2 linked regions of the Neurospora crassa OR74A genome follow. The protein of the gene in region 1 purifies or fractionates together with the protein of each later gene. This does not show direct contact. Links are inferred from orthologs where the notes say so. Each region holds a gene or a part of one and is shown in the gene's direction. Other genes may lie near its edges.

What was found.
Region 2: the proteins of NCU03018 (region 1) and NCU09843 purify together in Saccharomyces cerevisiae (affinity purification with mass spectrometry, with the first as the bait; 4 studies listed by BioGRID). This does not show direct contact. The link is inferred for Neurospora crassa OR74A from reciprocal best matches to the Saccharomyces cerevisiae genes UTP18 and UTP15.

The regions. Positions count from the first base shown.
Region 1 is NC_026501.1:8,425,986-8,430,243, forward strand, and holds NCU03018 (small nucleolar ribonucleoprotein complex subunit), read left to right. Parts: upstream 1-1,458; 5' UTR 1,459-1,744; coding exon 1,745-3,616; 3' UTR 3,617-3,794; downstream 3,795-4,258. Other genes in the region: NCU03019 (hypothetical protein), read left to right, coding at 311-464, 542-825, 889-1,200; NCU03017 (hypothetical protein), read right to left, coding at 3,844-4,233. UniProt on the Saccharomyces cerevisiae protein: Involved in nucleolar processing of pre-18S ribosomal RNA and ribosome assembly.
Region 2 is NC_026505.1:5,923,101-5,931,667, reverse strand, and holds NCU09843 (WD repeat containing protein 57), read left to right. Parts: upstream 1-5,434; 5' UTR 5,435-5,616; coding exon 5,617-7,287; 3' UTR 7,288-7,716; downstream 7,717-8,567. Other genes in the region: NCU09845 (hypothetical protein), read right to left, coding at 1,711-2,061, 2,127-2,504; NCU09844 (amidohydrolase), read left to right, coding at 2,854-3,040, 3,105-4,084; mak-1 (mitogen-activated protein kinase MKC1), read right to left, coding at 8,267-8,567. UniProt on the Saccharomyces cerevisiae protein: Involved in nucleolar processing of pre-18S ribosomal RNA. Required for optimal pre-ribosomal RNA transcription by RNA polymerase I together with a subset of U3 proteins required for transcription (t-UTPs).

The DNA.
Region 1 (4,258 bases):
GCTTGACTCCGTTAGTCACTTCTCACCAATGTCACGGTGCAATTTCAATCTCACGGCAGTATCTTGGAAGCTTTCTGATTTCCTTATTACATACTTGTGCTTCCCTTTCCCATCTCTTATCTTCTCTCCTTTTCGAAAACGTCAATCTGAAGATCTTTTCATCCATACGTTAGGTTAGTTAGCTGTCTGTCTTATCCAGGATACGCCCAGTTGCTGTCCGGTCTACTCCTTGACAAGTGCATTTTTCTTTTAGCTCCCTTCGCATTCCAAGGACTTGACCCGCCGAGATCGTTGAATCACATTGCTGAGAATGACACAATCATTGTCTCTCGCTGTGTTTGCAGCTGCGGCACTTTTTGCGACTAAGGGTCTTGCGAGCAACTTTACCGTTAGCAATGGCCAGATTTTCACCCCTGGTTTTGTTATCGTCGATTCCCCCCAGCCGGACACGCCTCTTGGCGGAGGTTAGTACTATTAGTACCCGGCTGGCTGTCGGCAAAGGACTTGAGGACTTGCTACTAATAAGCTTCAACTTGTGTAGACAATGTCGAGATTGCGCTCGATGTTTCTGCCAATGGCAAGCTTCCTCTACCGCCCTACGGCGACGACGCTTCCAGCCAAATCTACAACATCAACATCTTCCTTTACAGCTACGTAACGGGCCGAAACTTGACCATCACCAACGGTACTGCGTCGGCCAACAATGCCACACTCGGTGATATCATGCTCTCCGAGCCTGGTAGCACCGTGAAGCATGTCCGGTGGACATGGCCCGACTGCATGGTTGGCGATGGTACGAATGGGAACGATCGTGGCAGTTACAATGTGGGTTTTCCAAATAGTCAGCTTAAGAGTGTGTTGATAGCCATTTCACTGACAATTCAAAAGATCTCCATCCACCAACGCTTCAGACTCAATGGCGAGAACCACTACACGATATTTGATCTTCCCGTCTCTGTGACCAACAGCATCAGCAAAAGCGACGACCGCCCGTCTTGCCAATCACTTGATAACCCGTTACTGGCGCCCGAGGACATCGATTGGACAGACACTAACGAACTCGGCGCCCTCTTTGCTCCTGGTGATTCGACGGTTATTGAGACGTCGAATGTTGGTAGTGGTGCTGGGCTGGCGAGCTGCAAGCATGCACTTAACTTGTTGTGTGTGGTGGGCATTAGCTGTGCTCTGTTGTTAAGCTAGGCTCTAGACTTGCTTGTCGTCCAATAATCAAAAAGGTGGCTGTGAGATGACATAGAATCATCTGCAAGGATACCAAAACACCACGTACTCTTCATGCATATGTTCTTTTTGAAATCATATATTTGCTCTGCGTGGCTCATAATTTTAGTACTAGTTCGTGTCTGGTCAGATTTATTGTCTTCGAATGAGTTCACATAAAGTCATCTTCATCACAAAGATATTGTTAATGAAAGTAGCATTGAGGCATCAGATAAGTTTAATATATGTTTATTTTTTTACTTTTTTTTTTGTAGGGGTACTTCAAACTTATTCCTTGAACAAGGCTGGCGTGCTTGTGATAGCAAGTGGGTCCAGATTAAGTGGGACAGGATCTGCGATCTGCAAGGCTGATAACGAAAAAAAAAGTTCCCAACCTCAAAACAAACCAAACACTAGCGACTGGTCGTGGCATTTCCGTCCATTTCAACTCCATTTAACCAGGACCGGATCTCACAGCAAAAGTTCCCGTTACTGGGCTTTGCGCAATCTCCTAAATCAGAACAAAATGGCGCCACAGACGAAAGACGAAGTTTCCGACGACAACGAATTCGTCGGATTCGACGAGGAGAGCGATGAGGAGATGCACGACAATGATGGCATGTCAGTAGACGACGACGACGAGGACGACTCCGATATGGATTCAATTGCCGACCCGAGGAAAAAGTACGATATTGAAGAGAAGGACTCTGACGAAGAAGACCTCGAACGATTCGTCTTGGGCAATAACGACACCTTCCGCGCCCAGCTTTTCCGCGACGATTTCCTCGCCGATATTACCGATTCCAAGGCTCTCATTAGGACCGACAAGCAAGATGACACGACTGGCCTCGAACATGTCGACGATAACGCCCTCTTCGCGTTCGATACTGGCGTTCCCGGTAATAAGAAGCAGACAGAGGCCGCGCCCTCTGCGCTAGAGGCTTACGAGCAGAAGGAGGACCCCCCAGCGTGGGAGGACAGCGATGACGAGCGGTTGACAGTATCCCTTGCGGCTGCCTCGCGGTTGCGCAAGCTGCGTCAGTCCGAAGAGGAGGATGTCGTGAACGGCACCGAGTACGCGCGCCGCCTGCGCTCGCAGTACCTCCGACTATACCCCCTTCCGGAGTGGGCCAAGGAATCCTCGGCCGCCAGCCAGCGCCGGAGGAGAAGATCTTCAGCCGCCGGTTCCTCCTCCGAGGAAGACAGTGACGCCGAAGACGACATCGAATCCGCCCTCCCTCTCGAGACCTTCCTCCGCGACGTCAACTCTTTCAACGCCAGCGCCGATGCCCGTGGCAGCAAGCGCCGCAAGCTGCGCCCCGAGACCATCGACATTCAGCGCTCGCGCGACATCCCCGACATTCACAAGCAGTCCGTCAGCTCGTTGTCCTTCCACCCCAAGCACCCCATCCTGCTCTCGTGCAGCGTCTCCTCCATCATGTACCTACACCAAGTTGACCCGACCGCGCACCCGGTTCCGAACCCGGCCCTCACGTCGGTGCAAGTCAAGCGCACCGACCTTCGGCGCTCCGAGTTCCTCGGTCCCGATGGCGACGACGTCATCTTCGCCGGTCGCCGGCGCTACTTCCACAGCTGGAACCTCTCGTCGGGTGCCGTCAAGAAGATCACCCAGATCCAGGGCCACCAGCGCGAGCAGCGTACCATGGAGCACTTCCGTCCCTCGCCCTGCGGACGCTACCTGGGGCTCATCGCCTCCGAGAAGAAGGGCGGCGGCATGATCAACATCGTCAACGTGCGCACGATGCAGTGGATTGCGCAGGCGCGCACCAATGGCCGCGGCGGCATCTCCGATTTCGCCTGGTGGGGCAACGGCAACGGCCTCTCCATCCTCGGCAAGAACGGCCAGGTCACTGAGTGGAGCATGCTCAGCCGGCGCACGGTCGGCGTTTGGCGCGACGAAGGATCGATCGGCGGCACGGTGATTGCGCTGGGCGGGCAGAAGGGCACCGGCCCTAGCCAGATTGGTGGCGATCGCTGGGTGGCTGTGGGCTCGAATAGCGGCATTATGAACATTTACGATCGGAATGATTTGGTTGAGCCTGTTAAGAAGGAGGGTGGTGCGTCGGCGTCCAAGGAGGAGACAGTGCAGATTAAGAGCATCCCCACCCCGCAGAGGACGTTTGAGCAGCTCACGACGCCCATCTCAGTGGTGACGTTCGCGCCGGACGGTCAGCTATTGGCGTTTGGTAGCTTCCACAAGAAGGACGCGTTAAGGCTGGTGCACTTGCCTAGCTGCACCGTTTACAGGAACTGGCCTACGGAGCAAACGCCTTTGGGTAGGATCACTGCTGTGGCGTTTAGCCACCAGAATGGTGGTGATGTGTTGGCGGTGGGCAATGATGTGGGCAAGATTAGGATGTGGGAGATTAGGAGCTAGATCTGCGCATTGTGTAGTGCGTTGAGTTGGCGATAAAATAGTGCGGAGTATAAACTAGTGGTAATCTAAGGGTTTGAAGGTTTTGGGCCATGAAATTCTGTCCAGCTCGTCTAAAAGGTTTCAGCAAGTGTCAGCCCTATGGCAACGATATGTATTCCCATGCTTCTCCTTGTACGCATGACATGCATCAAACCACGTCTTCAGAGGCATCAGTATCCCCTCAATCCTCAGGTGCTTCCAGTTTCCGTTTGCTTTACCTCCTTCTCCCTTTGCGACTTCTCCTTTCCCTTCAACTTCGCCTCCTTCTTCTTCCCCAGCCTTTCCTCTCTTTTACTCTGCAACTTTTCCTCCAAATCCGGATCGAAAATGTGCTTGAGCATCGCGTGCTCCGGCTGATCTTCGATGACCTTATTCCTGGGGTAAATCTTGCGATGCCCTATTGAATACTTTGAGAGCGCCTGAGGTGTTGTGAATCGCTGCGGCCTTGACTCCCCCCCGGCCTGAATGATTCTATCGGTTTCAAGGACATCATAGATGTTGACGTGTACGGCTTTAATGGCCTGGTGAGGGCGAAAAGAAATGGGTATCAGTAATGGCCGGTTCCCCGGTAGTGTGGCCTAGAGCGAGAAGGGACCAAAGAAG
Region 2 (8,567 bases), on another chromosome or scaffold:
ATAGTCCGCCAGCGTCGAGTTGGCATCACTTGAGTTTGACGGGCCACTGCCAACGACTGCAGTGGACAACCAACAAACGGACACCATAGTTGGTGGGAAGTTCGGACGGACGGGTGAAAGGGCAACCTAATGACTACCTAGGTAGTAAGGTAGGATAAGAGTCTCGTAGAGTCGATTGGGCATTTAGCGAAAGTACTGAATGATAGTACAGGAATAAGCAAGTATAGAGAAAAACTGGGACGATTCAGGTAGATGCCGAGAAAAGGTCAAGAAAACCACCCAAAAATTCACTAGAAGAAGGTTCAGTTTTGTTTGAGAATGGAACTCCAAGTTATGTAGAGGTACGTTTTGTATTTCCCGGCTGTGGTGTCCCGGAATTTGGGTAGCAATGGCCCACCCACAGCAGAAAGACACTCAGTGAGACCCAAACGGTCCACGCACGCATTGATAGGCTAGCCGGCCTGGGTACCTAGGTACTTGGGTATGTACAATCTGGGCTGTGCCGCGTAGGTACCTATCATGATATAGACCTAAATACCTATGTCTAGTACTTGTTGGCGTTGTACACTTTTACACGACAGCATAGACTAGTTCTACAGTATGTAGTATATAGACCCTCCCCCCCCCCTCCCTTCCTCTCCCACGTCCCTCTTTCAGTCCCTCTCTCGCATCTTCATCTCCATGCTTCGCTCGTCTCCTGCTCCCTCATCTACAGCCCGCTAGCCCCAATGTCGCCCGCACTCCGATGCCCATTTTGCCAGCTCTTTGATGTTCCCTAACCCGCCTACCGTCGCGTCCCCAATCGAGACATTCTCGGCCTTTACGGTGCATCTCGTCGTCTATCGCAACTTTTGGCTTGATTCTAGTACATATGGTTCTGTGGTGCCGCCACAAGCACACGAGGTTTTGGGCAACTGCCCAGCCATCCAAACAGCCGCCCACCAGCCACGTCCGGCGCGACCTCGTCCCATCATGAGGCTGGATATGCCTCGATATCAAAACATACGCCTGATGCTAGTTGCGAACCCGCCTGTCTCGTCTCAGTCTAGCGATCCCGAATCAGGCCTGGCACGTGCGCGCCACATCCTTCCCATGTACAAAAGAGCTCTTCGACGACTGCCCTAGCTGCGGGTACTACATAGCTCTCTTCCTCTGTGATAGAGTTTAGACCACCCGCCGCCGCCGAGTCTCCTCTCGGTGAACCCTCGGTGAACCCTGCGGAATGTATGCATGGATGCACCCCTGCCGCAAGCATCGGACCAGCATTGTTGAGCCACGAGGTTCCCCACTCCCCAGACGTGGACGGGGCCGGCAAGCGGGAACACGGGGAAGATCGTCCCGGACACGTCCCAACGGGTGCCTACCAAACAGTGGCTGAGTGGCTACAGGAGTCGGCGCCGCTGGTTTCGACGGTGGAAGCTTTCTCTCATTGCGACTAGTTCCTGGTATGGGCGGTTAGCGCAAGGACATCAAGCGATTATTTTATTGCTCCGAAAGAACGGCGCCGGTGGACGCGATGAAGTCCATGAAACGAAAATGATCATTCAGCCTGAGCCAGCATGTTCTTACAGACAGGCTGGCCTGTACTGCGCTTTTTCAAATTATACTAAGAGTATGGGATCGTCAACGAGATCCATTGATTGCTATGGAGTGGAGTGGAGAGGAGAAGAGAGAGACTGGCGGAGTCTTGAAGGCTAGAAACGGTGCGGTCTATGAATAGGTCCCTCGCATTTGCGCTTCGAGCATTTGAATAGCATCTACCAGCTGTTCAGGCATGCTCAGAAAAGGGCAGTGGCCTGATTCAAGCGTGACGGCTTTGGCCTCTGGTCCAAGTTGCGCCGCCATTTTCTGCTGGGCGGCCAGTGGTAGCGCATGGTCCTTGGCACAAAAGATGTAAGCACAAGGTATCCCATCCTTCCAAGGCTCGTAGCCACTGGGCGTTGCGAAAAGCGCGGCTGACGTGTGCGTCATCTCGGTCATCCATCTCTGCTGTTCTTCGGCGTTGAGGTCGTTGAACATAACGTCAGCCAACATTTCTTGACGCCCGAAAACCCGGTCGCCCTTTTGATCAGTTAGCAATAGTTGCAGCTGACGTGAGACTCACACACAATGGCGGACCGACTTACCTTGTATTCCATCCACGGGAGAGGTTTTCCACCGAGCATATCGAGCAAAGCCTTGCCATGAGGGATCGCGAAGGTGGCCAAATAGATCATGCCTATGACATTGTCCTGGCCTTTTATCGCGTTGCTGCCAACTAGGCCACCGGAGGAATGACCCAACAACAAGGCTGTCTTGCCCTGGCGGGCAAGCTCGCCGAGCACGTATTGCACCGCTGCAACGTCGTCAGCTAGACGGTGGAGAGGCGTCGCTGTGCTACCAACGGTACGCAGTTCGACATGGATAGCCTCGAAACCTGCGGTGTGTAGTTGTTGCACAAGGTCATTCCAAACGACGGGCTTCTGCCAAGCACCTGGCACGATGACGATGACCGGCTTGGACATGATGCAACTGTGTCGTGAAGGTGTTTTTTTGAGAGGGGTTTCTAGGTAGGCTTGAGGACATATAAAAGAGTGTGGGAAATGCGTTATCGAATAGACGATTTTCCTCTTTTATCTTCAACTAGTTTGGGAGGTCGGTATAGCATAAGATCCCTATACCATCGGCATTCCGAGTATACACTTTTCCGAGATCCCTACTTATACTATCGACATCCTGGTGTATATCAACTTTTCTGAGATCCCTATACGAGCTATTGATACCTTGGGGTACATCACTTTTCCGAGATCCTCATACTATCGACATCCTGGACAAGTATACGTGATATCGCGCTGGTATATAAGCCCCAGAGGCATGTCACTATACCCCGTCGACATGCAGACCAGAATTTCAACCGCCAACCTGCTCCAGTTGCTGGTTCTTTTTCTTCCAACTCGGACTGTTCAGTGCTCTAGCGTAACACGTGCGCCCGCCCCTGAAAACATGACTTCTCAACGAATTGACGTTCACCACCATTTTGTCCCGGAGTTTTATGCACAAGGTGCGTCCAAGGCGGTTTGCATCCGTTCTTTTCTTTTTCCATGGAAGTGCTAACGTTGCCATAGCCTTACGAGCTAACGGTGGTGACCCCTCGGGATGGTCCATCCCGGACTGGAGCCTGGAGAAGGACCTGTCCTTCAATGACGAGCAACGCATATCCTTTGCCTTTCTTACCATCACTGCTCCCGGTGCTGAAATTCTCCCCCTCGTCGAGCAGGCTGGCTTTTGTCGACAAGCTAACCAAGCGGCCGCCGAGATCCGTGCGGCCCAGCCAGCCCGCTACGGCTTTTTCGCTACTATTCCGTCCTTGCTTGACCCCGAGGCTGCCCATACAGAGATCATCCACGCGCTGGATGAGTTGCAGGCCGACGGCATCATCTTGTACACTCGCTACGGATCGGACAACCATTATCTAGGCCACCCGGACTTCCGCTCCACCTGGGACCTGCTCAACAAACGCCGCGCCACCGTCTTCGTTCACCCAACGCACCCCGTGGACACCCACTGGGTCAACCCCTCGCTTCCGCAGCCCATGATTGACTATCCTCACGAAACTACCCGTACCGCCGTCGACCTGATTATCTCGGGCATCATGCGTGAATTCACCGACGTAAAGATCATCCTCTCTCACGCCGGTGGCACCTTGCCCTACCTGGCGCTGCGTCCAGCCGCGGTACTGCCGTACCTTCCACCTTCGATTGCGCCCCCCATTGTTGCAGCAGCAGTAGCAGCACAGGAGGGCCACCACCCGACTGACGTTACCAACCAGTTCATGGAGGACGCCAAGCGGTTCTACTTTGATACAGCATTGTCGACGGGCTCCCATACTCTGTCGCTGTTAAAGGAGTTCGCAAAGCCGGACCACGTGCTGTATGGTAGCGATTTCCCTTATGCGCCGTCGCCCGCTATTGCAGATATGAACGCAAGACTGGACAGGTACGGCGCGGAAAAGGACGAGGCATTTGTCCAGTCCGCTGCGTCGGAGGCTGCGTTAAAGTTGTTTCCTCGCTTAAGCAATGTCCTATCAAAGAATTACTATGCTTAGGTCGCGACTACTAATATAGTTTCACGGTGTTAGAAAATAAAATAAATAAAAAAAGGAATGAAAGGATACACGGCATGTCTCTGTCCGCTATTCTTGTATCTATATCATGAATTAGCCGTGATCTAAACCTCTAGGCCTAGGTCTCAAGGAGAATTCGAGTAGGAGTAGTACCATGTCTCTAGCAGCAGCAGCAGTATGGGTAGGTATCAGCGGGCCTCCCCGTCGTCGTCGTCATAACTTATACTATCCAACTATGTTAAAGCACCAGATTGTAGATAAAGACTAGAACTTCAGTTTGACAACCTGAACACTTTGGTGGCCCTGAGACTTCATTGTGTTCCTTCTCCTTCGTCGGTCATCCGCCTCGGGGGTGCAGTGTCTTCAACCTCATCTGCTCGGCAACTGAGTTGCAGTCATGACAAAGAAATTAATCATGTGATCGGATGAGAAGCGAGTTTCACATTGCTTTTCTCCATCACGACGAGCAGCCAGCGCGTTTGATGATCTCCGAAGTTTGATCTTTTTTTCTTTTTCTTTTCATCTCTTGATGATTTTGTTTTCTCATCTCAAAGTCACGAGTAAAAAAAAAAAAACAAACTGCGAGTAGCCGGCTTGTGACGTTGGTGTTTTTGTTGCACAAACCGTTATCAGTTTCATACGAGTTGTCCAGGCGCTTGTTATTGACTGAATGGAGTGTAAAGAGAAAAGGTTGTGACTTGTAATTGATATTCTCCGTCTTCACTCTAAGCTTAGCTCATGGTTCAAGTAGTTTTCATACGCGCTTCGTTATAAATACATCTGTGGCTAGATAAAACATTCAAGTCATCATCAATACGCACGCTGTTGTTGTTGTTGTCAGCAACAGGTTACTAGACTACCAACTCGCTACCATTTCGAGGCCAATGCTCCAGATACACATCCCTAATGACATGTTAATCATAGATTCACATACCGAGGAGATGATGATTGTCAATGAGCGTGTCATGCATCAAAATACTCTTGGATTTTTACTCCAGTCAATTAATTATATGTCAGTCGACTGTCTCCAGTTGATAAAGGCGACAACTTACACGACTTACAATCACGACGGCGGGGATGCAGCACGATAAGATAACGCCAAACATTCACACGACATGGAAGCCCAAGCAGACCAATCAAAAGAAGGAACTTGTGAAGAGGACGGGACCCTGGAAGCTTGGCGTTTTCTGGCCTGGGGCTGGTCACTATGGTACCTAGTCGCTGTAGGTAAACTTTATCGGCTTGGCGGGGCCTCCAATCGATGGCTCCAACCAATGGCTTTTGCATCGCATCGCCGTCAAAAAAACTAAAATTCCCACTTGGAGATTTCAACAATTCGTGAACTTTGAGCCCCGCAAAGTCACCACCACGACAAGACCTCGACGCGTGCCTCCCTCCCCCAATCCGATTTCGACCCTAATCGACTTCCCCCGATTCCGATAACCGAGTATCCTCTCTTCAACACTACCCGAACTAGACGGAACGAACCTACCACCCATAACCAATCCGTAACCATGGCAGCCGAAGTGCAGCCGCTGGCGACGCTCAAGTTGCCCACGGTCGTCAGCCCCATCACGGCCGAGCAGCGCTACTGGAAGTCCTTCAAGAACCAGAAATCACACACCTCGACGGCAGCATGGCCCATCTCGCACATCAGCTTCCCCGGCTCCAGCAACGGCTCGGCCGCCTCGCACTCCCTCGTCGCCGCCGCCAAGACCAACGACCTCTTCGCCGTCACCTCGGGCCCCCGCGTCGACATCTTCTCCATCCGCAAGCGCGAGCTGCTCAAGACCATCGGCCGCTTCGACTCCCAGGCCCACAGCGGTGAGATCCGCGCCGACGGCCGCGTCCTCGTAGCCGGCGAGGACTCCGGCAAGATGCAGGTCTTCGACGTCGGCACCGGCACCCGCGCCGTCATCCTCAAGACCTGGCACGTCCACAAGCAGCCCGTCTGGGTCACCAAGTGGTCACCTACCGAGCTGACGACGCTCATGTCCTGCTCCGACGACAAGACGGTCCGTCTCTGGGACCTGCCCTCCAACGCGCCCTCGCGCCTGTTCGCCGGCCACCAGGACTACGTCCGCAGCGGCGCCTTCATGCCCGACCGCAACAACCTCCTCGTGTCCGGCTCCTACGACTCGACCGTCCGCGTCTGGGACGCCCGCGCCCCCGCCGGCTCCGTGCTGACCTTCAAGCACGCCGACCCCATCGAGGAAGTCCTCCCCTTGCCCGGCGGCACCACCCTCTTGGCCGCCACCGGCTCCGCCATCTCCGTCCTCGACCTCGTGGCCGCCAAACCTTTACGCCTCATCACCAACCACCAAAAGACCGTCACGTCACTCAGCCTCGCCTCCAACGGCCGCCGCGTTGTCTCCGGCTCTCTCGACGGGCACGTCAAAGTCTTTGAAACCACCAACTGGAACGTCGTCTCCGGCTCCAAGTACCCCTCGCCCATCCTCTCTCTCTCCGTCGTCGCCGCTGGCTCAGGCCACGAAGACCGCCACCTAGCAGTCGGCATGCAATCCGGCGTTTTGTCCTTGCGCACCCGTTTGTCAGGCGCCACGGCGGAGAAAGCCCGCGCCCGCGCCGCCGAAGACGCGCTCATGGTTTCAGGTGCCTCTTCCAAGCTCGCCAAGATCGACTCCGCCAAAGCCAAGCGCAAGCGCAACGCCGCCTCCAACAAATCCATGGCCTTGCTCGGCGAAAACGTCGACGTGATCATCCCCACCGACGCGCCCAACTCCGCCGGAGGCCGCAAGCGCCGCGTCAAGCTCAAGCCGTGGCAGCGCGACTTTCGCGAGGGCCGGTACGCCGCCTGTCTGGATGCCGTGCTCGACCTGTCCTCTCCGGAATACCAGCCCGTGACGGCCCTGTCCGTGTTGGTGGCGCTGCGCCACCGGTCTGCCCTCCGCGAAGCCCTGGAAGGCCGCGACGAAGTTACTGTCCTGCCTTTGTTGAAGTGGGTCATCAAGTACATCTCGGATCCGCGGTACGCGACCGTGTGCGTGGACGTGGCGTTCCAGCTGTTTGATATCTACAGCGAGTACGTGGGCGGCAGCTCCGAGTTGGCGGATCAGTTTGCTGTGATGACGGGTAAGGTGAGCAGGGAGGTGGAGAAGGCGCAGATGGCGATTATCACGAATGGTATGGTGGAGAGTTTGATGATTGGTGGTGCTGAGGCTTAGGAAGCTGAGCGAGCTTCGGACAAGGCCCTTGAGGCTGCAGTTTGACCAGAAGAAGGTCATGATGGTTGGAAGGGAAAGGGAATGGAAAGATACGGATGAGCTGTGTGGATGGATGGAGCATAAGAAAGATGTAAAGAACGGATGGGATGTGTTGTTATACCACAAAGCAGGAAGGACGGGGAAGGGGGAAAAAAATGGAGAGGGTAAAGGATCCCGGATGTGTTGGTTCGGTTTGGTTCGGTTAGGTATCATGGTTTTTTCTTGATATCAAGCCCTGCATGGCGTCGGCGTTCAAACATTCTTTTTTGGCTTTTTGTACTAATCTGGGCTCACAAAAGTATACATACGGTCACATAAAATAAGGGGTTGGGACTAGATACCTCGAGATAGATACCTTAGGAGAATCAGTAAAAGCCATTCCAAATGCCAGGCTTATTGCGTGACCATGGACTCTTCTGGACGACGCCACCACGATCAAGAGCTTTATTGCAGTGTCAACATTCAGCGTATCCAATAGAATTATGACTATAAATGACAACGTAAACATCTCGCTCCAAAGTCCTCGCTGAAGATCGCTTCAACTTTCCACTTAGTCATAGTCCTCCCTCCTGACTAGGAGAATAGAATGAGATACAGAAAGAGTCTCTCCGGTGAGCCACTCACCACCCTCTGGTATCTGGCCAGACATCGAAAAGAACTCCCGGTCTGCCTCTGACGCCTGCTTTTCCAAGTGCCTTCCTAGGGCTGACTGTTGACAGCCCGACCAGAACTGCTGTCCCACTCTGTCATTGAAGACCGCCTCAATGGCGAGCCGTTCCCTTCTCGGGGGGTTTCCAACACGATAATACTATGTCGTCGTCTTTTCTGTTTTTTGCAGCCAAGGCATCAACCCAAGATGTGTTTGAGCATCAGATGCTTGCCGAACCAGCGTTTCGTTCTCATTATCGTATATAGAAAGGTTTCATCCTTCCGTCATTGCTTACATGCCACCAAGCTCGGCCTCCAGGCCACCGTTGTACGCGCCATACTCATGTGGCCTAGGATCTTCAGCAGTCCATTGTTGGCTGTGCACATCAGTAGGCATGGGCACCTGAGCGGGAGCCTGGGGTTGAGCACCGCCCTGTCCTTGACCACCGGGCACGGTGCGCACAAGCTGTCTGAACCTGAAGACTTCATCGAGAATCATCTTGCGCATCTCGCCGACATCATCGACAACCTCAAAGTCGAAGTTGAAGGGGGTAGGGCAGTCGGGCTCGTCGCTGGCATCGTGCCAGATGGCA